Notamacropus eugenii: one gene and its partners. The protein of the gene in region 1 interacts with the protein of each later gene in a pairwise test. Links are inferred from orthologs where the notes say so. Each region holds a gene or a part of one and is shown in the gene's direction. Other genes may lie near its edges.

What was found.
Region 2: the proteins of CARD9 (region 1) and TCEANC interact in binary tests that used the Homo sapiens proteins (3 or more experiments, as listed by UniProt). The two-hybrid records come from large-scale screens. The link is inferred for Notamacropus eugenii from reciprocal best matches to the Homo sapiens genes CARD9 and TCEANC.
Region 3: the proteins of CARD9 (region 1) and FAM161A interact in binary tests that used the Homo sapiens proteins (3 or more experiments, as listed by UniProt). The two-hybrid records come from large-scale screens. The link is inferred for Notamacropus eugenii from reciprocal best matches to the Homo sapiens genes CARD9 and FAM161A.
Region 4: the proteins of CARD9 (region 1) and KIAA0408 interact in a two-hybrid assay, tested with the Homo sapiens proteins (2 studies listed by BioGRID and IntAct). The two-hybrid records come from large-scale screens. The link is inferred for Notamacropus eugenii from reciprocal best matches to the Homo sapiens genes CARD9 and KIAA0408.

The regions. Positions count from the first base shown.
Region 1 is NC_092872.1:489,795,157-489,803,540, forward strand, and holds the start of CARD9 (caspase recruitment domain-containing protein 9), read left to right. Parts: upstream 1-4,935; 5' UTR 4,936-5,038; exon of another isoform or gene 5,039-5,083; intron 5,084-8,384. UniProt on the Homo sapiens protein: Adapter protein that plays a key role in innate immune response against fungi by forming signaling complexes downstream of C-type lectin receptors.
Region 2 is NC_092876.1:377,330,743-377,338,564, reverse strand, and holds the start of TCEANC (transcription elongation factor A N-terminal and central domain-containing protein), read left to right. Parts: upstream 1-4,339; 5' UTR 4,340-4,776; intron 4,777-4,958; exon of another isoform or gene 4,959-5,156; intron 5,157-6,506; exon of another isoform or gene 6,507-6,725; intron 6,726-7,822.
Region 3 is NC_092872.1:642,870,663-642,878,439, forward strand, and holds the start of FAM161A (protein FAM161A), read left to right. Parts: upstream 1-4,341; 5' UTR 4,342-4,419; coding exon 4,420-4,566; intron 4,567-7,777. Other genes in the region: CCT4 (T-complex protein 1 subunit delta), read left to right, coding at 1-3. UniProt on the Homo sapiens protein: Involved in ciliogenesis.
Region 4 is NC_092873.1:211,372,057-211,380,322, reverse strand, and holds the start of KIAA0408 (uncharacterized protein KIAA0408 homolog), read left to right. Parts: upstream 1-4,985; 5' UTR 4,986-5,257; intron 5,258-8,266.

The DNA.
Region 1 (8,384 bases):
ATGACTCTGGGGCTCAGTCTTTTCAACTGTAAAGAATGGGGAAGAATAATACTTACACTGCCTACTTCACAGGACTTGTGTAGGGAAAGTATTTTGTAGACTTTAAAACTATATAAATGCCAGTTGTTAATTATCTGTAAAATAAGAGGGTTAGACTAGGTCAGAGGTGTCAAATATGTGGCCCGTTAACACTACCAGATGCAGCCCCAACCAGATAAAAATGTGATTAGGAATATTTAACAAATAAGTAAAAAATGCAGCAAAACATAGATAACATTACATTTTAAAACTAAGTTAAGGGATCTTTATGTATGCATTGACACCCCTGGACTAGATCTCCAAAGTATCTTCCAGTGTTGAGTTCTGTAACCCTATTATCTGGTCTGGGCACTTGTCTTCATATACATAAATGACTAGCCATTCTGAACTTTCGAGTTTTTTGTTTCTGTTAGGGGAAAAGGGGAAGCATGTTGATTTTTTTATTATTGTCAAAAAGTGGGATGCTCTAATAGGCTAGAAATTTTTGAGAAAGTAGCCAAAGGTCTCTGGATGGAAATCAAGGCATCGTTTGAAGAGAAGAAGATGCTCAAATGCCTTCCTCTCAGTTCAGAGGAAGATGCCTCCATTTCTTTCTCCCCTCCAGACCGTACAGGCTGACCCCATTCCTGTTTTCCTGGAATCTGGTGGTAGCTGGGTTTTGGTACAGTGTGATTCTGTACTACAGAGTGACAGCATTCAGGGTGCTTTAAGCCACTCTAGGTGCTGACTCACATTGCTGGAACATGACACCCCTGGAAGACTGATGATTTTTCTAAGCTAGATCATTCTCCCATTTTCTTTTTCTTGCCCTTTTGGTAAATCATTATGCTTAGAGGGGTTGCTTTTATTTGTACACCTGACCAAAACTCGTATCTTTTAGTTTTCCCTCTCTTGATAAAAATAATATCTGGTAATTTGTTTTTGTGTGGTCCTGTGATTTAATCCTCATAGGGAAATTCCCTTCACTGATTCAGACCAATTCATGGGGGGACCTTTTAAAGAGTTAGCTGGGGCACTGAGAAAATGTACTCATGGTTACACAGCTAATAACAGAGGCAAGATTGGAGCTTGGGTCTTCCTGGTTTTGTCGATTCTGATAAACTACCTTATAATTGTTTTTGTTTTAAGTTTCACCTTCCTGTGAGGTTAGTGGGGTAGGTATTTTGTTATTCTTGGTCTTCTTTCACCTTGAACCGTCCCCTTCCAATCTTCAAGCCTGCCTTTCATTTGCAAGCGGCTGGGATGTGGGGAAACCCAGGAAGCTACAGACAATTCACAACTAAAGTTAACTCCTCTATATACATATACAGGACATTCCCATTGTTGACCTGAAAACTTGGTTAAAGAAAAGGCAACAGGCTAAATGCATACATTTTATGATTTAATTAATTAATCAGTTCCCCATAAAGAAAACAGTTACATAGCGCTATGGAGTCAGAGGTGACTGACTACCTAGTACAGAAATCATCTGTCTTAAGTACATTTTGTCGTGAGAAAGAAACTCTCCTAATTAAGCAAATCATAAATTGAGTAAGACGGGACAATTAACAAAGCAATGTCAGTCAGGCCTTGGGATTCCAGGCTGGGTAAGCATATGTCTCAGTGATAAGAAAAGAAATCCCACCACTAGTAAGTGGCAGGCTTCCTGCCCTAAACAGATAACTGACACAGGAAGGGGCAAACAATGTTCAATAGAAACCCAGGATGCCTATATTTTCTTTACCATTAATATGCCATAACATAGTATGTGTCTATAGATAATAAGATATAAAGGGAAGTCCCATTATTTAAGATAGTATCTTAGGTTAAAGGTCTCCCAAGGAATGCAGTCAGCTTTGGCTGGCTTTTGCTGACATAGGAAGAGGCATTCTCTGAGTTTGCTTCAGAGAGAACAAAGAGATTATTCCAAAATTTTATATTAAATATTATCACCATGTATCTCATTAATACCCGATGATGGCCCACCAGCAAAAATTCCAAGGGCTAAAGATTCCAAGGACAATTCTTCCAAGAAGCTAGTTCAAAGAAACAGACTGGGTAGCAGTTAGGTGAGAGGTAAAATTATCTTAGGGTGGGACCAGGTGAAAAAGTCTTATATCATGACATAGCTTCCACTTCTCTCTCCCGGAACACCATATCTACTTTCTTTCATGTTAGCAGGAAAATGTCTAGGAGGAGGAGTTTAGTTTAACTGGATTAACTAGGCATTAATAATGGGCCTTTGGCTCCCACCCTTCCTGTTTGAGATATGCACTGTCCAGGCAGATACCCAGCAGTTGATAGACATTCATGATGCATATTTGTCCCTCCCAAATTCCATCATTCACCATTGCTGCATAAAGAAACACCATATTTGGAGATTTTTGCCTCACATTTTTCTGTTCTCCCCCCCATTCCCCCGAATTCCTAGAAAATCAAGTATTTAGTGAGTCCCTACTATGCACCAGATAACTATGTTAGGTACTAGGGAATACAAGAATGAAATACCCACTCTCAAGGAACTTATAATGGGGGAGAAAACAAATAACTAAAAATACAGCATAATTACTGGTTCTTCCAAAAATATACCTTGCATAAGGTGAATAAATGCAAATCTATAGAAAGTAGTTAAATTCAAGTTAGTTTAGCTGGGGAGGGAATTGAGGGGATTAGGAAAGGCTTCCAAATCCTAGGACAATGGAGTTGTAAATTATGTTGACTCACCTAGGAGCAGAGAGGTCACATATGCTTTTAAAAGTAGTCTGCCAAGGCAGGCAACATGTTGCAGTGGGAAGGGTGAAGCTGGACTTTTGCCCTAGTATAGAAAATGTGGAGACTAAGAAAGTTAGCAGATTGAGAGAAAATTAACTTCTGTTGCATAGGAGATGGGATCTCAAAAGCTAGCCAAGCGATGGTGAAGTAGTTTGGGTTACAGGGACAGAAGACTGAAGTTTCTTTGTTCTATCCCTGTCTCCTGTCCCTTAAAAAAAAAAAAATTCCCTCCATCTTTACCCTGTCCTCTCTCCAAGGCTTCACCTTTCTTACAAGGGGACCAGACCAACTTCTACCTCCTCCCTCCCCAATCAAGGTTGAGTAAAGAGCCTGGTTTGTTTCCTTTAGGTTATGTGAGAAGGAACCTCCCCAACACTTAATCTAGTGGAATACAAAGAGCATGGACCTTCAGATCTCATAGGCTGAACTGGATGACCTCTGGGGTCCCTTGCAGCTTTGAAATTCTTGTCTTCTAAGCCACTGAAGCAACAAATTCACCCTCCCACTCAACTGAGTTTCTGTTATTTCTGATATTTCTACATCATTACAAAGTTAATTTTAGGGCACATTCCATATCCCTTGCCCCAGACAGTGTTTGCCGCATGAACTAAAATTCCCAGATATGGCTCTGGGGAAGAATACAAATTTTGGAATCAAAAGACATGTGTTTGAATCCTGACTTGGTTCTGAATCCTGATACCACTACCACTGCTACTACCTACTGCTTAATTCCTGTGTGACCTTGGGCAAGTCACTTTAAACCTGTTTGGACCTCAGTTTCCTCATTCAGCAAAAGAGGACTAGGTGACTTCTAGGCACCTTCTAAATCTATAGTCCTAGGATTCTAACTTCCCTGCCTGGTGGAACAGGGAAGATATGGCTGCTGGCAGCTTAGGGGCAAAGTCCAGAGGAGGAATTCTGTCTTTGGGGAAAGAATGTATGTCAGCTGTCAGTTTGGTGGCCACCTGTGGCTCAGATATCAAGAGGTGGTAAGGGCATAACCGCAGTCACCCATGTTCTGGTAAAATCAGCCTGCGGGCCATCTTTCGCACCTAATAGGCTGCTAACCTCAGAGTCTGCCTTTGCTTATGGTGTTGGCAGGTTTATTGATAATGCAAAAACGCACCACCTTCTGGTTAAACTGGTGCTAACAAGGCCATGGCCAGGGGTTTCATTGTTGTATGGCTTTGTTCTCTTTTTCCCTGGCCACTCCTTAACCAGAGCTGTTAACTAGAAATTCTTTTACCTGGGGCAAAACTAATTCAGGGAGTTGTGTGGGGTGGGGGAGGAATGCCAAATGTAGTGTCAGTAAACAGGATGGTCTGACCAGGGGAACTGGGGGTGACAGTGACAGGGGAACTGGGGGTGACAGTGACAGCTCAGGCAACAGTTTGCCCGTCAGAGCAGTTGCATTGGGAGAGGAGAAGACCTGTTCACCAAGAAATACTATCTATGCCCACTTTGGGATGGGCCCCAGACAAGGAATATTCTGGTGACAGAACCTGGTAAGGAAGCAGGATTGCACAAGCTAGCAGAGGACTTTGAGATGTGAAGTAGTGGGGTAAAGGTCCTGAAGGAGGAGGGAGAAGGTGAGGATCCCCTCCCAATCACAAAATGTAGGTGCTGAAGTAAAGCCCTGGTTATCTTACCCTAGTTAGAGTTACTGTTTACAAAAGGGACAGGTGCACCTTTCCTTCCTCTAAAGAAACATTTTAATGCCTAAATCCTGCAGACAGTAGCACAGATGGCTGGTTATTCTTATTAATACATGCTCTAAGTACAAGGCAGGACACTCACCTTGCATGGAGGGGTGGAGGGAAGTGCCAAGCCAGGATACAGTGTTTCTCTGTGGCTCTCCATCCCCCTGAACCATGGTAAACACCTGAGGAGCCCAGAGGTGCTGACAATGCAAAATGGTTCCCCAAAGGGTGCTGAGATACCACATACCTCAAGTTCTCCTCAAAAATAGATTACTTCTCCTTTTCCAAACTCCGCCCTCTGCCTCTCTCCCTCCCAGAACTCTGATGGACCAGTCAGAAGAAGAAATACCAGCAAAAAATGTCTTGACTGGAACCCCATCAGGAAGTACCTCATAGCAGAGGTTTTCCCAGCTGACTCCACCTTCCCTCAGATTATTGCGTAGCCAGTAGGGTTTCCTATCAAGGTCGGAGGACCAAGGAAATGGGCTGACTAGCACATTGAAGGCTAAATTATAGCCAAGCTGGAAGCTCCAAGAACAAACTGAGAGGTAAGAAGGCTTTGTTATCCTAAGGGGGAGTATGGGGAAGTGTGTAAGTGAGGGAAGTGGGGGAGGGGAGGAAGTGGAGGAGGGATAGTTGGCCAGAAGGAATTAATTTAAAGCAAGGGAAGGTCATTAACCTCTCGCTGAGTAGTCTAATAGGACAGATGCACAATTAGGGACAGGCAGTTTGACACAGTGGAAAGAGTACTGTGTCTGGAGCCAGAGGAATGGAGTTCAAATCCTATTTCTGAAACTTTCTACCTGTGTGACCTTGGCCATGTCACTTAACCTCCTTGGTCCTCCGTTTCCTCATATGTAATATGAGGTTGGACTAGATGACTTCTGAGGTCCCTTCTGGCTCTAAGGCTCTCTCTAGGATCCTATGATAGGGGGTTTCACGTACCCCGGGAGCCAGTCAAGCCAGTCGCTACCAGGCAGGACCAGAATCTTCTGTGTTTATTTCCTCTCACACCTGATTAGAATGCTGGATTTCAGATGTTTCATATCTACTTGGTACCTTGAATCAAATTAAATGTCACAAAGTTGGGTGTGGTGCACTTGGATTTTGGTCCAACAAGAAGACAAAAAGAGTTAGAGTGTTCCCTGTGCCAGTTTCCCGTTGAGTGTAAGAATCAGCTCTCATTTTGACGGAAGTCCCATATGAAAAGGAAGGATAGGAGAAAGTTGAGAAACTAAGATGAAAGGTCATTTGCAAATTCAGTCAGCCAAGGCAGCTTGGAAAGGATTTCAAGGGTAACCTGGATAATTTGAGTCAAAAATTTGCTCTGATCAAAACCAGCAGAGGTTAGGCACTGTGCTAAGCACTGGGGATACAAAAAGAGGCAAAAAGCAGTCCCTGCTCCGAGGGAGCTTACAAGCTAATGAAAGTCTCTGTCTCCCTTGTTTTGTCCTTCCAATCGCTTGTGTGCCTGCTGAGGGGAGGGATAGCCTTTGCAAAGTTTCTCCTCCTGCCTCACTCAGCTGGTAAGGATCTTCAGCTTTTCTGGTCAGTGGAGAGGAATTTACAGAGCTTGTAAGAGTAACAGACATAGTATTCTAAAAACTAGGATGAATTACGAAAACAATCTCACTCCTAGAAAACTGCTCATGAAACTCACCTCCATCCTCTCAGGTAGAGGGGCGAGGGACTGTGGGTGAGGGAAGTGATAATGCCACTAGATGGGACACTTTGTTAGCTCTGCTGAAATGTTGGGGTTATTGGTTGGGGATGTGGAGGGAGGACAGATTAAAGGAAAATAATTGTGGTATAAAAACAAAAGGTAACAATAAAACTTTAAAAAAAATTAGTGTACACAAAACTGCCCACAACGGCTGCAAAGTGTGCCACTATATGATCTTTTCAAACCCCTGTTTCCAGGGGGTTTGGAGTAAGTCATTAAGTTAGTATTTTCACTGAGTTTATAAAGGTAAAGTTCAGAACAGGAAAATATCCTGAGAACTATAGATTATTAGAGTCTGTAGTTAGACAGATTAAATAGAGTCTTGAGATAATCCAGCCAACCACTTTATTTTATAGATGAGGAAACCACGCCTCTGTAAGTTTACATGTCTTGGCCATAGCTCTTCAGTGGCAGAACCAGGACATGAGCCCAGGTCTTATGGAGGCCATGTGTAGTTTCCCTTCTAATGCACTATGGTATCTCTTTAAGAGACCAGTAAGGTGGATATGCCATGTGCTTCTAAAGTCTTTTTTTTTTTTTTTAGAGAAACTAGGCTAGCTCTATAAGAAAGCAGACTAGGGGAAATGAGTGTCTGAATAGCTATATTTAATACTAATACAGCACTCTTGCTTTCTGCTGAAGGCCCAGGCTTAATGACCTGGCTTCTCAGGTGACAGGGATCATAAAAAGGAATATTTCATCACTCCATAGCCAGGCAACGAGAAAGGAAAAATGCAATGGAAAAGAATTAAAGGAAATGAGTCTGTTGTAAATCAGAGAGCAGAGATAGCTGTGTCACTGCCTCACTCATAAGGAAGTAGCCTTGTGCAGCTAATTTCCTTTATTAGCTGTAAATAGTGGGAAGGTTACTTTCAAAATGTGGAAGGCTCCCCAGTGCCCACAGGGACAATTGAGGGACAGAAATCAAGTGGGCCAAGTATTTATTAATGCGCCCATCACATGCCCAATGCTTAAAATTTTGTTGGGAACACATTTAAAGTAAATGGAATGGTGCAGAACAGATTGTGTGGCAGATAATTCTTGCCAAGGTCAATGAGGCTGGAGAAGGCTTCTTTGCTTAGACCTCACACAGTACTTCCTCAATACTAAATCATGGCAGATTGTGTTTTCTAATCATGTGTTTGTGTCATCCCCCAACTGGAGATGTCCCTACTGGACTGTGAACTCCATAGGCTCAGGGATGTATCTCCCCCAACACCTAACAAAGTGTCCCAGATACACACAAAGCTGTAGCAGGTAAGACTAATGGTCACTGGTATAGGAAAGGATGTTTTCTCCCCATAGGGAGACATCCATCTTCCCCTTGGGAGGGAAGGTTGTCTCTTGACTGCCAGTGATTTCCTAAAGAGCCTTCTAAGGACTACCCCAGGAAAGAAACCCATCTTGTTTGGATGTGGCTACCTTGAAAGAAGAAATAAATCCACCCGTCCAAATCCCAAACTCCTCCCCAAGAGACCTGTTGCTTTCATGTTCTTCTTCCAGTTCATTCCCTCTCCCCCTACCAAGCTGGTACCATTATACCCTGCTGAGGCATATAACTCCCAAACCACCTGGCCTGGGGGACCAGCATCAGTGGTAGAACAAGTAGTAATGATGTCTTGTGTTGTCCAATCAATTAATTAATAAACATTTATTATGCACTATTGTGTGCCAGGCACTGTGCTAGGCACAGAGGAAACAAAAGAAGCAAGAGACAGTCCCTGCTCTCAAGGAGCTTATGATCCAATGGGAGTCTCTATCTTCCTTGCATTGTCCCCAATCTTTCCAATAAAGTTTTCCCTAGATATTGGAATTCCCAGGTATAGTTTATGCCTATTCTTTTTTTTAATTGAATTGCATGAGTTGGAATGTAAGTTGACTAATTGGTAGTCTAGACTGAGCAAAGGGAAATTGGAGTGGGCATTCCAGGCAGCAAGCCCTTCTGACATTCGGAAGGCATCTGTCTTTGTATCTTCTACAGCCACAGGTGCATCTAGGATAACCACCCCTGACCTCACTGTGCAGGTAGCTCTTGCTGAGTCTTCAGGCATACGTGATGGGACACATTCTGGCTTAAACAAAGATTTGCCTGGGAGCAGTCACCTTCTAGCTTGGGATCATCTCAAGGTGATAGCTTAGTTCTTTTTCTATCTGGAATCGTTAACCAAGGA
Region 2 (7,822 bases), on another chromosome or scaffold:
TTTACCCCCATAGTATTGCACTCAGTATAGTCAAGAATTCTTCATTGTGTTTGGCAGTTTCTTCTATTTATTCATATCTTTAACCTTAGTTTAAGGAGTTATGCTTGGGTCAAACTCAATAGTCCCACTCCTAAGTGGTGTGGAAAGATCCTGCATGGACTTTAGTGGTGTGGCTAAGACTAAACTCTGTTTGTGGCAGAAATTGTTTGGCATTGTCTCCTGTTATGGTTTAGACTTAGGCTGAGTTGGATCCTCACTGCCTTCAGGGGTGGGGAACCTGCAGTCTCAAGGCCACATGTGACTCCCTAGGTCCTCAAGTGCAGCCCTTTGACTGAATTAAAACTTAACAGACCAAATCCCCTAATATATAAGGATTTGTTCCGTAAAACTTGGACTCAGTCAAAAGGCCTCACTGAAAGACCTAGAAGGCCACATGTGACCTCTAGTTCCACAAGTTCCCCAACCTTGTACAATTAAACGATGCTCCCAAACCTGTCCTGCTGCAGCTAGGGTTCTGAGGCTGCCCTGTGCTGGTCACTGGCCTTTCTCCCTGTAGAGTGTAGGACTGCAGTTTTAGAATTCTACTGAGGATGTTTTGAGAATCTGGGCTTCTCTAGGTCCTAATAAAAGGCCATCTTCCTATAATTCTCCCAGTAATCTCCCCTCCTAATTTATGAGAATGAACTTCAGAAATGCATTTTGCTATTTCATATTTTAAATAGTAAAAAATAGTGTCTTATTGAGTAGTTACTGATTCATAGTGCACAATCTATGCTAACAAAATCAAAATGGAAAAAGTCTGCTTTTAAGTCGTATTTCAAGTTGCAAGTTGTCAAAGTTCTTATTTTTCAAAAAGTGAGCATAATGCTGCCCTCTGCTGTACAGTACTGACACAATAGTATTTTTTAATCACAAATTTATCTAATATAATTTAAAGCCAACCTACACCATAAGAATAAACTCTATTTCATGCAACAATGTATATGTTGTTGACAAAAACGTAAATACCCCTAGAGAAATTTTCATTTCAATAATTATTGAGTACTTTACCTTGCAAAGAATTGCACTAAGCAGTCTTCCAGGTAGCTGGTGAATAATCAGTTTAACAATTCAATCATTTTAACCACTTGGACATGGAAGGAAGGAAAAACATAAGGGCAACGGGGGCCCAAGGAAGAGAAGAGGTGGAGCAGAGTTTATAAAGGAAAGCATCACCATCCCTTCAGTCACCTAGGATTACAAACTCTGCACCATCCTTAATTCTTTCCTCTCTGTTGAACCTCCCAATTCCAATCAGTTATCAAGACTTACTGCTTCTATCTTTACAATATTTCCTTCCTCTCTACTCTCATTGAAACTACCCTTGTCACCTTCTACCTGAACCACTGAAGTAGCCTCCTGACTGGATTCCCAGATATCAGTCTCTCCTCCCTTCACCCCTACCCTCACCTTCACACACACCCCACCCAGTCCACCCACCCCCTGCATCCATCTTGCATACAGTTGCCAAAATAACCTTCCTTAAAAACCAAGTCTGACAGTATCATTGGCCTGCTCTAGAGCTGTGAGGTACTCCCTACTGCTTCCAAGATAACCTATAAACTCTGGGCCATCTCTGGCTGTCCTGATGAATGCCATGCCACTGGACCCAGATGGCTAAGGAGAAGAAAGTGAGATTGGTGACCTTGCACAGCCCTCCCTCACTCAAATCAAAGTCTACTGAAAGTCATGTCATGAGGTCACAATCCTCTTCAGGAACAAAGGACAAACACAACAACAACAATAAATTCCTCACCTTGCAATATAAAGCCCTTCATTTTTGAATTCTGATTTAGCTTCCCAGGGTTTAAAGCACATTAGTCCCATTCACACAGTCTACGTTTCAGCCTTTTCCCAAAATGGGCATTCTATCTCTGCTTTCTGTATTTTCACATTGGCTATCTTCTCTACCCAGAATGCACTCCTTCCTTACCTCTACCTCTTCAAAACCCTGGTTTCCTTCAAGGCTCAGCTGATATTCAGAAGACTTATAGAACCTCCTAGTTGTTAGTACTTTTTCCTTCTTACTCCAATTAATGTATGTTTTTACCTGTTTACATATTACATCCTGACAGTATATTGTCAGCAGAAGCTCAGAAGGAGCAGCATGGTTCCCATTTTTCAAAAATTATCTCCAGTGCCTAGCAGAGTGTCTTATACAGAGAAGGCACTTAGTAAATATTTGATTGGATTGGTTGGTTTGGAAGCTGGGAGGTAACAACACAAATTGACTGGAAGGTAACAAATACAAAAGACGATACAAACTACTCTCGCCAAGGACTATAGCAATAAGGACCATATGCTACCACAAACTGATTGTTGCTGATGTCTAAATTAAAATATCGGAATGATTTTTAAAATTTATTTTAGTTTTCAACATTCACTTTCATAAGTTTTAAATTTTTTCCGCACCCCTTCCCCAAGATGGCATGCAATATGATATGGCTGTACACATACATTCCTATTAAACACATTTTCGTATGTCATGTTGCATAGAAAAATTATAAAGAATGGGTACATGAGAAAGAAAAAACAAAACAAAAAAAATAAAATGGTCTGCTTCGTTCTGCATTCCAGCTCCATAATTCTTCCTCTGGATGATAATGGCATTACCACCATGAATCCTTTGAAATTGTTTTAGGTCCCTGCATTTCTAAGTCTATCAAAATCAGTCACTGCACACTGTCAAAATGATTTTGAAAGGTTTCAAACCTCATTTTCCTCCATTTCATCCCAGTATTTCTAATCTAGCTTTGTCAGGTCCCAATCTCTTCATCTCAGCAAAATCTTCTCCTGTTCACTCTCCCTTGCTAAGAAGAAACAGAGAAACGCGCGCGCACGCGCACGCGCACGCGCGCACGCACGCACGCACGCACACACACACACACGCACACGCGCACACACGCACACACACACACACGCACACACGCACACACGCACACACACACACGCACACACGCACACACGCACACACACACACACACACACACACACCCCTTTTATCCTCACAGCCTTATTATCAGTACATTGTCCAGTTAAATCTTTGGAACTTTGGAATTTTACCTTAATGACTCAGTTGATGTTAGGAATAAGGGAGAGTAGGGTGATAGAAATAAAGGTAAATACTTGGTAAGACTTCTAAATGGTGATTTATATGACCTAGAGAAGTCATTCAATTGTAGCATAGCCCTCCCTACCTTTTCTCCCAGTTACACCTAAATTTAAGGTAAACTTTATGTTAGTATCCATTCATTTCCACAGCAAATAGGCTTCCTGATACTTCCCTCTTTTGAGAAGATATTCTGACTCAAAACAAAGCCATTTAATAGCTTTGGAAAATAATGAGAAAAACTTCCCCATATACAACAGGCACACTCTTTCACAGATTCCCATACCGTTGATGGGAGAGGGAACAAAGTGGTCTGACCAACTCAGAATCCTAAGATTGTGCCCCAGATGAATTATGCCCTAGACCTCCAAAACTCCCAACTGTTTTCACCAAAAAACTTCACCAACGCGCTGATGATGTCATCTACTAGGCTGTTTTACTGAATAGAGCTTGCCATCTGCTACTTCTCCACTGCCGGGGGCCTCTTTTCCACAGAGGAATGGTTAAAGCTCTTTTGCGAATCATCTCATAATTTCAGTGCTATTTGAGTTCTTTTGTGAGTCCATACTCAGCTAGAATAGCAAGACTCTCTTAAGTCAAATATATATTTTTCTGATTACTACAATTCCTCCTAAGTCAAAACTCTCCCATCTCTTCCACAAAGTTTCCCCATTGACTATGAGTTCCTTGAGAGTAAAAACTGCTGGGTTTTGCCTCTCTTTTTATCCCCAGAGTGTTTGGCATATAGTGGCACTTAATAAACGTTCACGGATCTCTAATTTTCAATCTTTTCTTTGTAGGATTACAAAAGAAACCAGTTCTATTGCAAGTTATACAATTTTTTAAGTTCATGAACCCCAGGTTATGAACCCCCAAGGGGATTCAACACTGAGATGCCATCCAATAAATATTTTCCCCAAAGGCAAATTCTAACTTCGTGCCTGTATTTGCCTGCCCTTTCAGATAACGAGAAACGTTCAGAAACATGTGCTCCTTCCACAGAAAGAACTTGAGATGAAATATTTCCCAACCAATTTCTAACGGAAGAGGCATCTTTTTTCCTGTCTGGTTACAATCCAGGTTTATAGCAAGGTGTCCAACAGACACTGAGTTAAGCAGCTGGAATGTGCCAGGCACTAAATCAAGAACAAAAAACTAGGCCCCGCCTCAAGGGGCTCCCTTCCTCTGGTCTGGCCGGCTGTCAGTCCGTCATTCAAAGCATCAGGAAAGTGACGTCATGACTTGCAAGTGAATTGGATTTAAGTGAGGAAGTCTCGTAGTCACGGAGAGCTGACGTTATTAGGTTCAACTTAAATGTGCATCTGGGATCTTGGGCCAAATAAAAGGGAGATTCCTATTCCTGACTGAGATGACGCAGTCGGAAGGCACGGCAGGGAATCCACAGAAACGGGAAGCAAAGAGACTGATAGGACGGGCGGAAGAAAACTCCGTAGATCGCACTGCGCATGCTTCAATCACGTATGCGTCTCGCCTTGGCTCCTCTGATTGGTTGAGCGTCTCCCCTTCTCTCCAATCCTCTTCTTCCTTTCTCTCCCACCCTCTGTGAGCAGAAGTCGTGTCCGGCAGGCTGTTAGCTTCCCCTAACTGTCGCGTCTACCTGCGGACAGGTGAGCAGGGTGCGAGGGTCAGCCCTGGGGAGAAAGGCGAACCGCAGGAAGCCTCCCCTTGGACGCTAACGAGGCAGTGGGGAAGGGAGCTCGGGGACGGTTACGGCCCCGCCTTTTCCTAGCAGAGGTGGGGGTTGGGGGGGGAAGAGGGGAAGGGCGCAGCCGCAGTCCAGGCTTCTCGCGCCTCCCCCCCGTCCTGTGACCTCTCCGGTCACCCCCAGCCTTGGCTTGGCGCGGGGGACGGGCGTTGCATTCTGCCCCTCCTCCCGTTTCCGGTGTCCCGCTGCCTCGGGCTGGAGATTGCTTTAGTTTCCACGGACTCCTAGATGTAGACTTAGAAGGGATCTTAAAAGCCCCTGAATCCGCCCCTCGTTTTACTGGTGAGGATGCTAAGTTTAAAATTCGATATTCAAAAATATTTAATTCTTGTGGAATTGTTTATTCCATTTTATTCAAGTTTTTAATTTCCCACACTTTTGTCTGAGTTTCAGCAACTAGAAAGGAATTTTTCTCTTTTAACTCTTTTTGAAGGTGGGGGGGGATTTTAAATTTGAGATTTTATTGTATTCCAGCGAGGGAACCCCCACCTTGACATGCAGCTTGTAGAGTGAGCGGGCATGCTGCTGTTACTAAGAACAAAGGCAGATCTGTTTTCCAGACATGTTGGACCTGTACAGTGTTGCCAATACCATGCTATGAAGTGTGAGAGATAAGAAAAGGAGTTTTTAGTCAGTTTCTCGTACCTCCTCAACGCATGTGTGAAGTCAGGTTAAAATCAATACTGGGGACAAAAGTTACAATAAAGGTCATATCAAAGGTTTGTCTACAAGGGGTAGAGCCTTTTTTCTGGGGATGGTGGGAGATGGGGAATATAAGTGGAATTTTTTTTAGATTATCATTCAACACATTTTTTAAGCATTTCTCTATGTCAGATGCTAGGCTGATCTCTGGGGAAGTCACAAAAAAGCCGAACAAACCGGTCCCTACTCTCAGATTTTTTTTTTAAAGCCTCAACTGAGTTTCATACTCTTAAGGGTGGGAAGTGAGCTAAAAAATAGGAAGTGTAGTTTAGTGAGCCAGGATTGACTGTGTTATCTTCATCCATATGTTACCAGAAACATTTTCATTGAATACAGTTCTCAATGATTTTATACCACCCGTCCTCATTCCATTTTCTGAGATTAAGCAAACTTGCAATCTAGTTAAAGATTACATTTCTCAAAACAAAGTGAAGTGTTAAGGTAATTAAGTGACAGGCAGGATTATGAAGATCATCCTTTGTAGGTCCCCCAGCATTGTTGCCCCTAGACTTTGAGGGGAGCCTTTCACCAATAGGTATTTCCATCATTGACAGCTTGTCATATGAGGATGCAGCTGTGAAAATACATATGATTGGTTATTTAGATATATTTGGAGCTAGTTACATCACAGTGTACTTACAAGTAACTTTTACTATCTGCTTCCTAGAATTACTCCAAATTGTAACCATGTTCATTACTGTTCAATTGAAATAGGAACCCCCTTGAAAGAACTTTTTAGTTCTTTAGTTTACAAAGTAAAACTTGCTCTGTAACTAGGAAGAAATATAAAGTCTAGAATGCAGAAAAAACATTTCTGTTATCAGTTAAGTGTGGAAAAACCTCATAGGAAATGGATAAAAAACTCTTGCTAAAAAATAAAACTGCAGACCTTGTCCCATACAAAGAAATCTCTGTCAATTCTCATTACAGGATGGTAGTTTTTGGGGATTTTTTGCGCGACAAAATTCTGAAGAGACACTTTCCCTGAAAGGCCAGTTGTCCACAGTATAATTCGAAGACTTACCATGTAACCATAAATGCTGAGGAACTAGAAAATGCAGACAAAGTATGATAATGCTGTCATTACCTTTGTTGCCACCGCCTGAGGACAGGAAAGATGATATAAGCTTACCCACTATGTATAGACAGGTAATTACAGATTTATAGCATGCTTAGCAGTATATAGCTTTCTCCAGTTAGTATGGAGTTCCCTAATACTAGAGAGCTATGCTTAGGTTCCTGAGTCCATTTTATTTATTAAAAAAATGATAATTTTTGTTTTGACACAGCAGACACTTTTCAACCAAAGCAGAGCTTCTCTCTCCACTAATCAACAAGAATTAAGCAATTGTTATTCATGGAACATAGAAACAAAAGTAAAACATCAGCTCCTGTCCTCAAGAAGCTTACCAGAGAGGCAATGTACATACAAGAATATACAGAGTATATGCAAAATGAATACAGGGTCATTTTGATAGGGAGTAAACTCTCAGAGAGGCTTCATATGAGCTGGAGCTGAAAAGTAATCAAGATTATGAGAGGCAGAATTTAAAAGAGAAAGAAAGCATCCCAGACCTCTAAAGCAGCCCATGTAAAGACTTGGAGACAGGAAATGCAGTTATATGTGTGTGAAATACCAAATAGGCTAGAATGGCTGGATCATAGAGAACATTGAAGGTAATAATATGTAAAAAGACTGGAAAGGTATAAAGGGACCAGGTTATGAAGATAGGTCAAACAGGAATTTATGTTTGATCTTAAATCTCTAGAATTTTTGTAGTAGAGTATTTTGTAGTAGAGAGTTTTTGGGAAATCAACAAAACTATCTAATGGCTTGATTGTTATTGATAATACAAGCCTGCTGTTTTTCTGATTAACAGGAAGGAAGGGTGTGTACTTTAACTTTGATAGTGTGGTGCCAGTCTGGGTGGTTTTATTTGCCTGGACTTTGGTTACCATTTAGGGCTTGTCATTATTTACTTTGTTGTAGTCATTGTGTGTATTGTTCTTTTAGCTCTATTTTCTTTATTCTGTTTCACTTCATAAAAATCTGCCTATGTTTCTTTTAATTCTTCATAATCATTCTGTAAGACAAATTCCATTATATTCACAAACTATAATTGTTCAGCTGTTGGATTCCTCCTCCCTTCACCCCCCCTCCCCATTGGGCACATGTTTCATTTGTAGGCTTTTTGTGTTCACAAATAACATTGTTAAAAATATTTGTGTACAAACGAGCACTATCT
Region 3 (7,777 bases), about 150 Mb from region 1:
TAATCTTGTTGACATACTGCATCTGTCTGATACAGACATACATTGTGCAGCTGTGGTGGAGGAGTATTGCCCTGTGGAGTATTTAATAGTTTGGAAGACTTTGTTTTCTGAGTTCTTACACCTGGGCTTCCAGTTGTCATCCATCTGAAAATTGTCAATACAATCTAATAAAAATAGTAAATATTTGGTTTCAAGAAAGCAGATTTTGTTGTTATTCCTGGAATTTCCAAAAGTTCTATGAAAAATAAAAACGGCTGTACCTGTTTGTTGAGTGTGCCATTGAATTCCACTCATTTTTTTCCTCAGCGCTACAAGTGATCTTTTTGCCTCGAATTTAAAGAAAAATTATATAAGTTTAAAGAATGATCAGAGGTGACTATAAATAGATGGGCAGATTGTTTGAGGATTTTGTTTTCCAGTTAGCAAAAAAGTCAAGTCAGTAAGCATTTAAGGGCTTGTTGTGTGCTAGCCACTGTGTTAAGCACTGGGGGTGAATATACAAGCAAAAAGATAGTCCTTACCTTTAAGTCCTTACCTTACATTTGGAATGTAAGAGAACCAGGACAAGGGAGCCAAAAAGTTCTATTGGAAACCTTGAAGGGGGGCTATTTTGGTGAAGGCCAGTGAATGAAGGATGGCTGAGTTCCTTTCTCAAAATGTAGTTTCTAAGAAGAACTCACCCGTGGGAGAGTGGGACTACAGGGCTAGAGGGCAAAAATATTGTTATCCATCTGAATTAGGTACTACATAACCTGTATTCGTATTATTGATTCAGCTATCTCAATTAGTGTGATTTTTCCCCTTGGCTTAAATTGTCTACTTTTGTTGTGTTTTTATGGTTAACAATTATTTAGTATTGATTTTCCAAACGTAAGGTGCTTGTATCTAGCATGAAAAGCTCATAGAAAATAAATCTCTACTATCCCAGGCATGCCATGCTATTTTAGGAGGGGACCCCACAATTTTAAGTACTTGTCTTGAGTACACAGTTAGCTAAAGTTACAATGCTTATGTCTCAAATGCTTTCTGGAATGTACTCTGTATGTGAGAATGTAGAAAAGTTTTTGAGTAAGTAAAATTCTTAAAAGGTAAGAATGTACAAGGCAAATAAAAAATGTGATTTCTCTGATATAAAGCCTTTATTAAATCTTTACTAGATTAAATCATTATTTTGTTTATTCTTTTAGTTGTTTAGGAGTATAAAATGGTTACCCTTGCAGTAATTTGTCATCTTGTATTAAGCCACCTATAACATAACATTTAGTCAAATTGGATGGTGAAATTAAACCTTTCATTATCCTACACTTTACATTCACATAGTTCATGTAATCAGTATAAATCATTTGTAGTGTTTGTGTGGAAGAGAAAAGACCCTGAAACATCAAAAACTTGTTTTTTTAGAACTTATTTCAAGCTGCAAGTATATTTTAACATAAATGGGAATATTTAAAGGAGTAAGTAACCTTTCATATTTACCAGTTATACTTTGGGATAAGAGAAAGGCTAGAGCTCTGATCCTACCAAGTAGCTGTGTGGCACACATGAGCAAAAACATCAACAGTGTGATTGATGAAGTTCACAATTTGTTACTTTTTTTACCTCCATTTTTTTCTTTTCATTGTTCTACAATCACTACGATAAAATCCAGATTTTTTTTTCACTCCCTCCTCCCCACCTCCCTGAGACAGCATACAATCCTACATAGGTTCTACCCATACATTCCTATCAAACACATCCTCACCATAGCCATGTTGCATAGAAGAACCAAAATGAATGGGAGAAATCACAAAACAAACCAAAACATAATACAAAAGAAAATGATCTGCATGCTGCGGTTGAATTCCGTAGTTCTTTCTCTGGATGTGGAAGGCATCGCGCCTCAAAAGACCATTGGTCTCCATTTTCTTTTGAAGCTTTTGGTGTTCCTAAGGATGCTGGATTATATGAAATTACCTTTGCAAAACATCCCACAGTACTTCAACTTACCTGATACATTGAGTATTTTAAAAAACCCAAAGCTCTGTTGATAAGACGGTCTTCTACCAAAATATGATTGCCAAACTGCTAAGTAAATCTTGGCTTGAGGCACTGACTTCAAGCTTATGCACTTCTATAGTACTAAGCCTCATTTGTCCTATTCCCACATTCTCATTAAGGAATGATAGAGCATTTATTAAGTGCTTATACGCAGTGCTAATTGCTTGGGTATACAAATAGAAAAATCTCAGCCTATTAAGAGCTTACATCCTAACGAGTGAGACAATACATGTAAAACCACAAGGGAGCAGTGGCCCAAGAACAGATGTACTGGTCTCCAGCCAGTTGGTAGGGTCTTTGCAGAACTTACAAAAGAAGAGGGTAAAGTGGAGGACATAAAGGGTCCTAGAAACCATTTTAATATGGTTATCAAAGCAGAGTGGAAATCTGGGTATTCTTTGAAAAACATCCATGATACCTTCACATTTATTTGCCTTAATTGGTCAGCAAACATCTGCAGGCCTAGTAACCACACAGACTTGAGACTGTTGCACTTCAAAATTTTGGCAGTTAAACAATTGGATCACACAGAAGTCTGATTTTGAGACTTTTGAAGAACAAAGAATCCCTGAACTACATAGGTTATTTGTTTAAAAAAACTTTGTATTAATCTTAAAACTTGACAAAGGTAACAAAAGAACCAGATGATCAGTACACACTGACCATCTAAGAGCAAAAAAAGAATGAGAATGGACAAAGAATCCTAATTTAGACTAAAATGTTACATTTTATGTATTGAGATTATGGTTACAAAGTAAGTTTAACTAGTTATATACAATTTTTCTTTTAAAAATTTAAACTTGTAAGAGTTATAAAGTTTCCTTTTTCAGATTTCCACCACAGCCTCTTGTCCCTAGAGTTGTTCCTGCATAGTCTTATACATAGGAATGTACCCTGGCCCTCAAATCACTTTCCACAAGTTCTGATCCCTGGCTTCCCACCCATGTATTGCTATCTGGTTATCAGCCAGTGCCTCGTTTTTGGGTGAAAAGCCTAACCCTGGGAAACAGTTTAGAAGATCAGTGCTGGGGATGCTTGTACCACGTGATGTATTATTGACTGATTAGGTTGACCGGCCGTTCCTGGACCTCCAGCATGGCCCAAAGGTCCTAATCAGCAGCCACCTTGCTCTTGCTCTGTTCTCCAGGCGCTCCCTCGGATTCCAACAGCGCCTCTGTCGTAGGAAGGTTGGACTTGCTATTGCCCGGTAATAACAGCAATTTTAAGAGTCAGCAAGCGCTTGGCACTGGCATCTACTGTGTGCCAGTCCCTGTGCTCATCCTTTTCGTTTGGTCTTCAAAGTCGTTAGATGTGTAATTATTACCCTCATTTTACAGATAAGGAAACTGAGGCAAAAGGCCATTAAATGACGGGCAGGGTCACACAGCTAGCGGGCCTCTGAGGCCGAGTCTGAACACGGATCAGAACCGACACAGGCCTACACGTTCCTGAAGAGCCAATATGAGTTCATCGGGGCTGCCAGGCGGGTGGGGCACCAATGGATGAGGGAAGGCGGCGCCGAGGACGACGGGGCCCCGGAGGGCTGGGCTGGCTGCGCCCAACATCCGGGGCCCGGGTTCGGCCCCGCACTGCGGGCAGAAGGCCGCATCTTCCAGCGCTGCGGTAAAGGCCCGGAGGATTTCCTGGCCTTGGCTACCCAGGCTGAGCCCCCACATTGCCGCTAAAGGGATACATTATGCACAAGCCTCGCCGTAAAAGGAGGCCTCCTAAACGAAACCCGCAGTCCCTCTCTCTAAAAGCGGACAAAGTGCGGCACAACCTGGGGCTGCCATTGGCCTTGCCGGGCGAAAGAAGGAGGGACAAAGAGCTGTCGCTCCCCGGTTGGTCCTTTCTTTGGCTCCCGCTGGCCAATCCTCAGGAGCAATACCTTTTCTTTCGCCCGCCCACCCGGCAGCCCTGTCGGTTGAGGCGGCCACCATCTTCCCGCGGGGGCGCGCAGCCTGCCGAATCGAGCGCGCGCGCGTTTTCTTTCCCAAAGGAGACCAATTCGAGGAACGCTGTGTGGCGCCCTCTAATGGGCTATCCGCACGAGTCGTCATGTCCTTAATCCCCCGGCAACTACGCTGAGACCTGGAGGCGGGAGGGGAGGGGAGGGACACTCTTGAGCCAACGGTTAAAAAAAGCGGGGTGGGAGGGGGCAGGCCCCCACGAGCTCGCAGTTGTCCCTAGGGAGCCCTGGTTCCCTGCGCTGGGCTTCGAGGCGAGGCCTTAGGTCCCTCGAGGGCTCCCGTAGCGCGGCGTGCGGCGTCCCGGGTGACAGCGTCCCGGTAACGGCCCCGCCCCCTGCGAGGAGCCGCCCCCTGCCGGCCCAGAGTTCGCTCTGCCCCAACCTGGGCCGGCAAGCGCCGACGTCCGGGAGCCATGGCAGCTCCCCGGCGAGCTCCAGCGCTCGCCTCCTTCGGTTTCCAGGCCCCACTGCAGCCGCGCTCCAGGTCGCCACGCGTCGACTTCTACGAGCGGGAGCGCGCCGGCGGGACCCCGGAGGAAACGGCGGCGGAGGAGGGGGAGGTAGGGGGCCCCGGGTAGGGGCTGGGGCGGAGACCCTGCGCAGACCCCCGGCCCTGACCCTGGCCTTCGGCCGGACCGCGTCATCCTCCTTCCTTCTCCCGAAATGCTTCTCAGTGGGAGGAGGAAGGTGGCCTAAGGATCCCAGCATGCCATCTCCCGACTCCGTGCTTTTGCACTGCCTGTGCCCTCCCCCATGCCTAAACTGCTCTCCCTCTCCTTATCTTCGTCTTCTGGCTTTCTAAAAGTCTCAGCTCAAAGCTCGCCTTGGGCAAGAAGCCTTTCCTCTCTCTGAGATTACCCCTCCCCCCTCCCATTTATTTACGCCAGAGGTATCTTGTACAGATATAGTTGTTAATTCCCCCTTTAGGCTGGGGGCTCTTTGAGGGCAGGAGCTACTTTTGCCTTTATCTGTACCATCGATGTCTGATAAGTGTATATTGCCCCAGCATTGGAATGTGAGTACTTTGAAGGCAGGGACTCCTCTTTTAATCTCCGAGCTTTGCATAGTGCCTGGCATATAGTAAGCGCTTAATAAGTGCTTGTTGACTGACAAGCAGTACCTAACGGCTTTAAAAAACAATTCTTGTATATTTAGATGCAGTGCCTTGATTTTATTTTAGGGAGTACAAATTACTATTTTATTTGACTTCAGTACTTCTCTGATGTATTGGAACAATTGTTTCTGCTGCACCACTTTCATACTTGAGGTTTGATGTGCCCTCATAATTGAAAGCCTGTAGAAAAATAACAACTCTGACCATGCCTCTAGTCTGCTGTCTAATGAGAGTTATGTAAGTTAATGTATTATATGAGGCTTACTGATAGTAGGGTCTTATTTAGCAAAAAAAAAAAAATGCAGAGGAAGACAAGTTGGATATTGTATTGTGGAAAATACCAAGAGTTCAATCTAAAAAACAGATGGAAAAATGAACAAGGAATCATTGAATTAATTAGTGATATGTCATTTTCTTCTTCTCACACTTGTGTGCCTAAGATTTTGTTTTTGGTCAAAAAGATTACAGAATCGTAGATCTAGAATTGGGAAGGGATCTAGAGGTCCACAGATGGATGGATGAAAAAATGCTAAGTGTTAACTGTGAGCCAAGCCCTGTGCTAAGCCCTTCGGAGATGTGCAGAAAAGGCTAGACAGTCTCTGCTCTCAGGGATCTCCTACTCTAATTAGGGGAGATGATGTGATCGTGTTGAAAGTTCAGCTGCAGGGCAGATGGCAAAGACCAAATCCCTAAACGGATTTGAGGTGAGGGGCAGACAACAAGACCCAAGGGTTCCAAGGTTATGTGGTTAGGTCAGATGACAGACAGGATGTAGTAACAGGGTGGGTGGTAAGGCCTGCTGGACGTCTCCTTTCACTGGAAACGGTAGTTGGTGACCTCCATGTCACCCAAACCATTTGAGTAGGCCAGCAGCCTGTGTGCATCTTGGACCAATACATCAGGATGGCAGCAAGGGGATAAGCCCACCCTGGCCACCATGGGTTCTGGGGGGAAGGCAGCATTTGCCCCTTGCTTTCCCCCTCTATTTCAGAACCCATCTAGGAACTCATTTGGCAGAAAAATGTGGAGAGGCCCCCTGTTATTATGTTCCAGATGAAGAAATCGAAATTCATCGAGGTGAAAAGACTTGCCCAAGGTCCCACAGATAGTAATCACTGGAGGCAGGATTTGAACCCAAGTCTTCTCATTACAGAGCTAGGGCCTTTTCTGCTGCACTGTGCTTAGGTTTCAGTATCTTTATGTGTCCAGAACACCTATCTACTGGATGATGAATATACTTCCCTTTATTTCTTTCACATACACTACTGAACAGGTGTCCATCTAAAACTTCCAGCTAAAAGCCATCAGTCTACTTGTATAGATCTCCACTCACAGCTTAGAATGCATTCATGCCATATGTCTGAAGCTTCTCAGCTACCAAAAACCAAAAGTTTAGAAAATTTAAATCTGAAGGCAGTTAATAATAAATAGGTCTCACTTGAAGGTTTGGTCCTTATGACCCTATGAGGTATAGTTATTTCGGTTCAGTTTGCTTAATTTTAATCTAAGTTTTTTAGAATTTGCAATATACAAATTTAACTTAACTGAGTTAAGAGGGCACCACAAGTGGTTTAGGGACACAATGTGGTATAGAAGCAAAAACCCTGGGTAGGGGAGCCAGAAGACCTGAATTCAAATGCCATTTCTACCTCTAAGTAGCTGTGTGACCTTGGGTATTTCTTTTAAACTGTCTAGGCCTCTGTTTCCTCACTTGTATAGTGATGCTGGACTAGATGACCTCTCAGGTTATAGCCCTTCTAAAAACTAAAAGGGTGATATGGGGGCTTGGAGTAGACTGTAGCCAGCCAGTGGGTAGTGTATACCTGGAGAAGAAACACTAAAGAGAGTAGAGGAGTTAGCAGGGTGACAGCTGAATTCAGCAAACATGTTGACTATCACAGGAACATGGAACTAGTACTGAAATGATCCTCTGAGACTAACCCCACCATTTTACAGATGTAGAGAGTGGTCAGAAATCTGTTATTCCTACATGCCTACTATGTGCTAGACACAGTGCTGGGCACTGGGGATACAAAGACAAAACAGTCTGTCCCTAAGGAGCTTAAATACTATAGTAGGATACATATGTACACACTGAAAGAGATATATAATACATAGGAAGTACATACAGATATTTCCAAAAGAAACTTGGTTTGAGGGCAGGGCACTTGGGGCATGAAGGGACAGCCTGTGAATCCCTTTGGCAACTGTATGAAGGATGAGATTGGAGAGGGAAAAGACTTGAAACAGGAAGGCCAGAAGGCAATGAAATTGTGACCTAGGACAGCAGCAGTGTGAGTGGAGAGAAAAGGAGCAATGTGAGGGCTGCTTTGGAAAAATAATTGACTAACACCTATCAACAAATAGAAAGAGGCAGAGTAAGGACAAATCAAGATTGACTACAGGTTTCAAACCAGGGTAACAGAAAGGATGACCGTACCCTTAACAGAGCTAAGGAAATTAGGAAGAAAGGAGGGTCTACCTTCTCCCCCATCTCCAAGCTTTTGACGGAAATCAAGAAATAGGCAATTTCTGAGCAGCAGGTCTTTTACTCTACTCTAATTAACCGTTATTCCTATCGATCTCCAAAGCTGCTTCTCCCCTTTAAGCTCCCAAATCCACCCCTTCTGTTCTCAGTCAGTCAACAAGAGTGTAAG
Region 4 (8,266 bases), on another chromosome or scaffold:
TTCACTGAGCAGGTGCCTAATCTGCATTGGCAGAAGTGGTTTCCTCGCCTGAGAGTTCCCTATAACAATAAAATCAGGTCTGATTCCCCCCCAAAAAGTATATCATGGTCAATAAAAATCATAATCTTCTCTAAGTCCTAGAAAAACAGTTCTAATAAATTTAGTGACTTGGTTAAGAGGTACAAAAATGTCCTAAACTATCTTTACATAAGTGCAGTATTTTTCCATTAGAGTTTGAGCTTTTCTGACACCTGCTTTAAAATGTTAAATAGCAATGGAAAGATCAGAATATTATTATGGAGTATTATATTGTGTGATCCCTGCTTCAGAAGAACATCTTCCATTTTATTTATATTGCTGTAAGAACTCCAAGTACTCATCTTAAGATGTTGTTCTTATTTTTCCTGAAAGGATTTAAAGATACACCGAGAAACTATTTGCCTCATGAGTCTTGTCACTTCAACTGGCTCCTTTTTTGCTCTTCATGTGTAAATGGTAGCACAAGGACCATAACATATATAAGGAGGGATTTTCCAGTAGCAAGGGTTGTTAAACATTGGAGTGAGCAGGTAATAGACACTGTGGAATCTATTTCTTTAGAGATTTTTTAAAATAGAACTAACTGTCATCTGTCTGGGATGGTTTAGATATGACCTTGCTCATGGCATCCTAGAGCTGGACTAGCGGACCTGTCAAGATCCAATCAGAGCCACTGATGCTATCTAAACATAGTTGCTGAGTCTCTTGCCTTGACACAAAGCACCTATGTTAATTATTCATTGAAACTTGTTTTAAAAGGGAAAAGGAAAGAATTCCTCCTTGAGGTTTACTGTTATGAATCACCTCTTATGCAACATAACCAAAGCTGGAAGGATTTAGAAAACAACCTTTATTAAGTTTGATATACAAATAATACAGCAAACCCCAGAGGCCAAGTGTGAGTGAACATAATGTTATCAGTTACCTTGGTTTAAATTGCCCTCAATTTAATTCAATTCAATAAAGAATTATTAGCCTAATAGATAACGTTTGCATGTTGTGTTCCCTGTTAGGCTGTGAGCTCTTTTAGATCAAGGACTGTTTTTTGTTTTGTTTAGTTTTGCCTGGCTTTGAACTTCCAGGGCTTAACACAGTATCTAGAACATAACAGGTGATCAATAGATGTTAATTGTCTGGCTGATTGTATAAAACCTTCTGCTAGGTATTGAAGATACAAAGATAAAGATGACATAATCCTTGCTGTCAAAATCAAACTGTCTAGTAGGGGATATCAAATGAAATATTTTGTCAAATAAGATAATATATAAAGTGCTTTGCCAACTTTAAAATACTGTATAAATGCTAGCTGTTTTTTATTAGATACAGAAAAAATAATATAATACTATTTAGAAAAAGATTCCATTCTTAAGAGATATGAATCATGGTACCATTAGAGATTTGGGGAGGGATTTTGTCTTTTAACTGGTGAAATTTGAGAAACATTCATAGAGAACTTGGTACCTAAGTTGGATCTCAAAAGACAAAAAGGATTTCAATCAGTGTTATCTTGGGGAGGAGGGTCCTATCCAAGTGTGTGAAAATTTATGAAAGCTCAAGAAAAATTAATGATTAACAAGAAGTTGGCTTAGGCCAGAGTGCAGGCTGTGTGGAATAGAGGACCATAAAATATCTGCAAGGATAGTCCAGAGCCAGATTGTGGACAGCTTTGAAGGCCAATTTGAGTTTTTATTTTATTCAGCAACCAATAGAAAACAACTGATGATTTTTTAAGCTAGGGAATGGAGTGAGCAAGTCAATGAATTAAGAAGACTACCATGGTAGCCGTGGGAAGGATGGCTTGAAAAAGAGATTGGAGGTAAGAAAGCCAGTTAGGAGAATCATTGTAGATATTCAGAAAGTATTGAGATGGGTAAAAAGGGGGAAATATGTCAAAGGTAGAAATCAGAGGGCTTGACAATGGATTGGACGTGCATGTGGATTAGTCAAAACTGATGGTTAGGTTTTAGATCTGGGTGGTGAGCAGAATGGTGATGTCATCACCAGAAATAGAAATGTTAAAGGAAAAAATGGTATCCAGAAACAATGAGTTCATTTTGGGACATATTTTAGGATTTACATGGGGATGTCCAGTAGACAATTGGAAATGGAGATTGGAACTCAGGACAAAAAGTGGAACTAGCAACAGAAATTTTAGAAGAGTCCTTTACATAGGTGAGCATTAAATTTATGATAGTGGATGAGATAACTGAGGGTAGGAGAGAAGAGAAGACCAAGGGCAGAGCACTGAACAGTAGGCATGTTCACTAGTGATTATATACCTCCAATATCTTCTTGCTGTCTACATAAAGTCTTTCCCACCACGACCTCTATTCCAGTTATTTCTCGTGGAAGTAATGCTCATCTATAAACAGACAAAACCATGGAGATTACTGGAGATGTATCTTTTTACAGGACTCTTTTAACTTCTGTTACAGGAAATGTATCAAAAACAGGGCCAACGAAGACTTAGATTCTTATAGCTTAATCTTTAAGCATCAATAGAATTTTCTTCCTCATTTCTGGGTAACCAGTTAAAAAAGGTACTTTCTTTGGCCCAATCTACATGAGTGGGAACAAATAAAACTACAAAAAATCATAGATTTAGAGCTGAAAGCACTTTAGAGGTCATCCAATCCAATCCTCCCATTTTATAGAAGAAATTAAGGCCCAGGGAAGTAAGAGTGGATTGCTTAAGTCTGCCTTGATCTAAACCCAAAGTCTTTTCAATCCAGATCCACCACGCTATACTGTTGTTGTGTTTATTGTTAGATAAGACCAACCCTGGGATTTCGGTGATATTCCAGTGCAGGTCGGTACTTTTTCTGCAACTGATTATCTTAAAAGGTTGTATAGAGCACTAAGAAGATAAATGACTTGCATAGGTCATACGGTCAATATGTATAAGAGGTAGAGCTTGAACATAGGTGGTAGCGGTAGTAGTAGTTGTCATTACCATAGTAATAGCAGCAGCAGCAGCAGCAGCAGTAGTAGTAGTGGTAGTAGTAGTAGTAGTGGTAGTGATAGTAGCAGTAGTAGCAGCAGCAGCAGTAACAACAGTCACAATAATAATACTTTACCAGTATTCTCTTTGGTACATTTACTTAACAGAAGGCATCACATATTTATAACCAAAAGATGAGAACTCTAGTGACCCTTCCAAACATAGACCAATTACATACATATATCTACGATATAAAAAGCATTCACAGCTTTTATTACTCAAATCTATTAATGCATACATACACACACACGTAACTATGTATAACTATGTGTGTGTGTGTGTGTGTGTGTGTGTGTAGAGAGACAGAGAGAGAGAGACAACAGAGAGAGAGACAACAGAGAGAGACAGAGACAGAGAGAAAGGAGCAAAAGTGTTGTGCCAAAAAAATCTTAGGAAGGTAAAGGGCACCTAATGGTAACAATAGTAAAATCAATAGTAACTATATTCACGTAGTACTTTACATATAGTCTAGTTCATCTGATCCTTACAACCCTAACACATCAGAGTTCTTATTATACAAGTGTTACAGATTATGAAACTGATTTGCCCAAGGGCATGCAGCTATCTGAAGAGGAATTCAAAACTATTTCCTTCTGAATCCAAGTCCAGCATTCTGTAAGTACATCAATACTGCCCACTGCTGGCACTTAAAAAATATTTGCAATCACTTGTATGCTTTCTACACTGTGTCTTATGCTGCTTACGTTCTGGTCTCAGTTGACAAGATATGTAAAGTTTGCTTTATTGACAAATTTGAGCTAGAAATCTGCTGAAGAGTTTATCAAAATGGAGCAAACATTTAACAGGGTCAATCTTATTATGACAGTAAGGAATGCATTTTTTTGCTGTTCAATCATGTCCAACTCTTCATGACCCCATTTAGGATTTTCTTGGCAAAGATACTGGAATGGTTTGCCATTTCCTTCTCCAGCTCATTTTACAGATGAGGAAACTGAGGCAAACAGGGTTAAGTGAATTGCCCAGGGTCACACAGCTAGTAAGTGTCTGAGGCTGGATTGGAACCCATGAAGATGAGTCTTCCTGACTCCAGGACTGCACTGTAATACACTGTGCCACCTAGCAGCCCTTCTTGCTGCATTGCTCCTTCACACAATACAGACATGGACAGAAAGAGCTATAAATGCTTCAAGAGGCAGCTTGGTGTATTAGAGAGTGCACAAGACTTGGAGTTAGGAAAACCTAAATTCAAATTCCACCGTAGACTTTTCTGAGCTGTATGACTTGGTACAGGTGACAATTTCTATGAACCTCAGTCTCTTGACATGAAACCTCACAGAATTATGGTAAGGATTAACTATGATAATATAGGTAAAGTGTTTTGTAAACCTTAAAGCAGTATATAGTAGTAGCATTAAAAAAAAAAAGAATTACTAGCTTGGAGAATGGCATAGGGAAGTATGAAGAGAAACATGTCGTATATCATCTGAGAAGAAACATATTTTCCAAGTGGTACTTCATATAAAAAAATTAGAAATGGCTAGGTTTTTAATCCTAGAGTATGAGCACTGTAGAGTTGGAAAGAACAATATGCCCCTTCTCTCCCCTTTCCCCCCACCCCACATACCCTGCCTTTGAAATCCACCAAGTAAGTAGAGAATGCCTGATTTGGTGTACCAGAACCTAGCCACACAACTTCAGGAGACATTGACATATATACATTGAGATTGCATGTAGTTAAAAAAAAAATCAAGATCTTGAAAACAAGAGTTAAATTTCCCTAACAAAAAGGATCTAAAATGGGCCATTGTCATCCGTTTGATATTAACATCAGTTCTTTTGGCGTGCTTGAAAATGCTGGGCTACACTATAAAGCTAAAAATGTCCTGGACCTAAAGTTGTTTACACAAAATATGAACAGATCTAAAGTTACAGAGCTGGGGTTGGAAGAGGTGTCTCTAAGGCCATCCTCCCCATAACTGACGTCACACCAGTCCCAGCTGCTGGTCTGACGCTGAGCTGAACTGTTGTTTTGTTTTTTTTTCACTCTGTAAAAGTAGTGAAGAATTCAAAGAGCCTTTAGTGTTGCTGTGCTGAATTGTTGTTCCCGCTTTGGTGTCTCCTAAAGGAGTGAAATTCACAGAGCTGGAAATTTTTTTTTTTCCTGTTCTCATAGCTATACATTCCACTTGTTTTTCACTGCTAGATTTACCAATGGACTGACAGAACTTTCAAAGGATTTCCTCCCTGCAAAAAAAGGTATGTTTTATTTCTGGAAACCTAAAAGTGAGCATCTAATTGTTATAAACTAGAGAGGGAATGCTATGTTTTAAAACTTGAAACTGCTGGAGTCCAGGATTATTTAAACATCTGTCTCTGCTTGAAAACAATGAGGTATGTAGTAACGGTTTGCACTGAGTTCCAAGGGAAAAAACCCTTCAGCTACTTAGACAGTGTCTTTAGACTTTGATTTTTTTTTCCAGTGAGAAAATGCTAACAATGCCATCAAGTAGTCTGGCTTCTTTTGTTTGACACTGTTTTCAGAAAGGAGCTTTAGGGAGGTTTAATTTTTCTAAATGTACAGTTCACAAAATGTTCAGCCTTAAGATTTTAGAGGTAAATAAAGTCACTTTCATCCAAGCTTATCATTGTTATTGAACATTAAGTATATTTATCAAATTATCAAACCTGTTATCCATAACAGGCTAATGTCTTGAAAAAAGGGGGGGGGGGATCATTATCCTCTGACATAAAGGCAAATTAATTTTAGATACTTGCATTTTTATGTCAAACATTTATTTTAAAATCAATTATTTTATTATTTTTTATTGAAAGAGAGGCAGTATTATGTTATATCTGGAGAAATGGACTTTCAGTCAGAAAACCTGTGTTCAAGTCTTGCCTCTGATACATACTAGCTCTGTGACCCTGTGCAAAGCCTTCCAAGGTCCAGAAAGCTCTTTAAGTTTTAAATTGCAGAAAAGATGTTTATATATGCATGGGTAGAATACTTAGTAGAGGAGAGAGTCCTTTTGAGAGAGCCAGGTTACTGTTAAAGTGTGCATCTAACTTGATAATGCTTAATAGATTCAAGTTCAATAAATTTAAATAAACCTACCCTAAATAAACTTTAGGGCAGCTAGGTGGCACAGTGGATATAGCACCAAACCGGGAGTCAGGAAGACCTGAGTCCAAATCCAACCTCAGACACTTACTAGCTGTGTGACCCTGGGGAAGTAATTGAACTGTATTTGCCTCAGTTTCCTCATCTGTAAAATCAGCAAGATAAGAAAATGACAAACCATTCCAGTATCTTTGCCAAGAAAACTCCAAAGGGGGTCACAAAGAGTTGAATATGACTGAAATGAGTGAAAAACAACAAAAACCCAAGAGTTATGAAGGGTGAAAAGGCAGTAGTAGTTTAAAGAGGAGGCAAAGTAAGGATGGAGCATCCCTTTAATTAGAAGGCATGGTTTTGGCTAGTAATAGCAATGAAAATAATGTCCTGTGGTAACACTAATTGGCTCATGTCATCCTGGTCTGGAAAGTTATCAGAAATGGCTTCCTGAGGTGAAGGATTCTGACTTATCATGTAGAACTGTACAAGATCTCAGACAATATCTACTTCAAGTCCCTCATTTTACACATAAGAGATCTAAGGCCCATGGAGGTTATGTTACTTGCCTAGGGACATACAGACATAGATTTTCAGCTATTCTAATCCAAACTCTTAATTTTTGCATATGAGAAAACTTAGTAAGCATCAGAGGTAGGATTTGGACCTAAGCCTTCTAAAACCAGAGTCAGTCTTCTTTCCATTATAGCCTCTTTTTATCTTGGTATCCCCAGAACCTCACTCAGTACCTATAAGCAGGTACTTATCATAGAATCAAGGGCAGCTAGATGGCACAGTGGATAGAGTACCTGATCAGGAGTCAGGAGTCATCTTCATGAGTTCAAATCCAGCCTCAGACACCTACTAATTGTGTGACCATGGACAGTTAAGCTTGTTTGCCTCAGTTACCTTATCTGTAAAAAGTGAGCTGGAGAAGAAAATGGCAAACCACTCCAGTATCTTTGCCAGGAAAATCTCAAATGGAGTCACAGAGAGTTGGAGGTGACTGAAAAATAACTCAGTAAACAGAATCATAGGTTGTAGAGCTGCAAGGAGCCTCAAAAGCCATCGAGTCCAACCACATCATTTTTACAGGTGAACAAACTGAAATCAGTGATGTTGCCCACAATCAGTCAGGTTGCTGACAGAACTGAGATTTGAACCCAGAACCTCTGACTCCAGACATTTCCACTGCTGTGCTACCTTTCTTATTATTGGTTAATTGTCTTCAAGCACATGTTCCCTCACAGTTAGAGCTATAAGAGAAAATTAGGTGTAATAGAATTACTCGGTTTTCCTGTTACTTTCTTATGGTTTTCACCAGATCATTTTGATCCAATCTCCAGATCTGAAGGGAGTGGAATGGGACAGTTAAAACAGCACAGAGAATATTCCTTAGAAATCTTCCTCTTCTCCCACACAGATACCAAAGTCTGTAGGAGAGGAGGCAACAGAGAAGTCTGTAGGAGCTGGGAACAGAATGGACTTTTATAATTGCTTCAGTATCATTAGTAAAAAGTGACTACAGTCAAGGGTCACATATTTTTTTAATATGCTTCCTATTATGACATCTCACTGTTTTCTTGCTGAGCTCTCTTCATCTAAAAAATGTTTTTAGTTTGATAATATTTATATCTGCTTTATAACAAAACAGTAATTATTACAGCCCAATGTTGTATAGGTATTGTCTATGTTAATTTAAAGTAAGAGGGAGCTTACCTCTAAATATTTATTCTGTACTCTCTACCACTGTTGAGAGAAAATGAGTAAGAATGGAAGAGCTTATGCACAACTGGGCTTTTCGGAAAACAGGCAATTAAGTAAAGGCCAGAATGAAAAACTGTATTTCAAAAAAGCGAATTATTATCTCAAGTTATTGCCTTTACCTTTTAGAAGTATGGTGGTTTCTTTATTAATTATGTCAAAAGGGCAATCAATTTTTACCCTCCACACAAGGTTATAAAGATGTAGGAGATCTAAGAGAGATTCAAGGATCAGGGAAGAAAATTTGAGGGAAAACAGGAAGGCGAACAGGAGCCTGGAAATGGGTGAAGATGGATCTGAAAAATCATCTTGGGAAAAGGGATCAGCTGGAAAATTTGGGGATGAAGGCAAAATGAGAATCAGGAGATTGGGGACATCAAATGAGTACA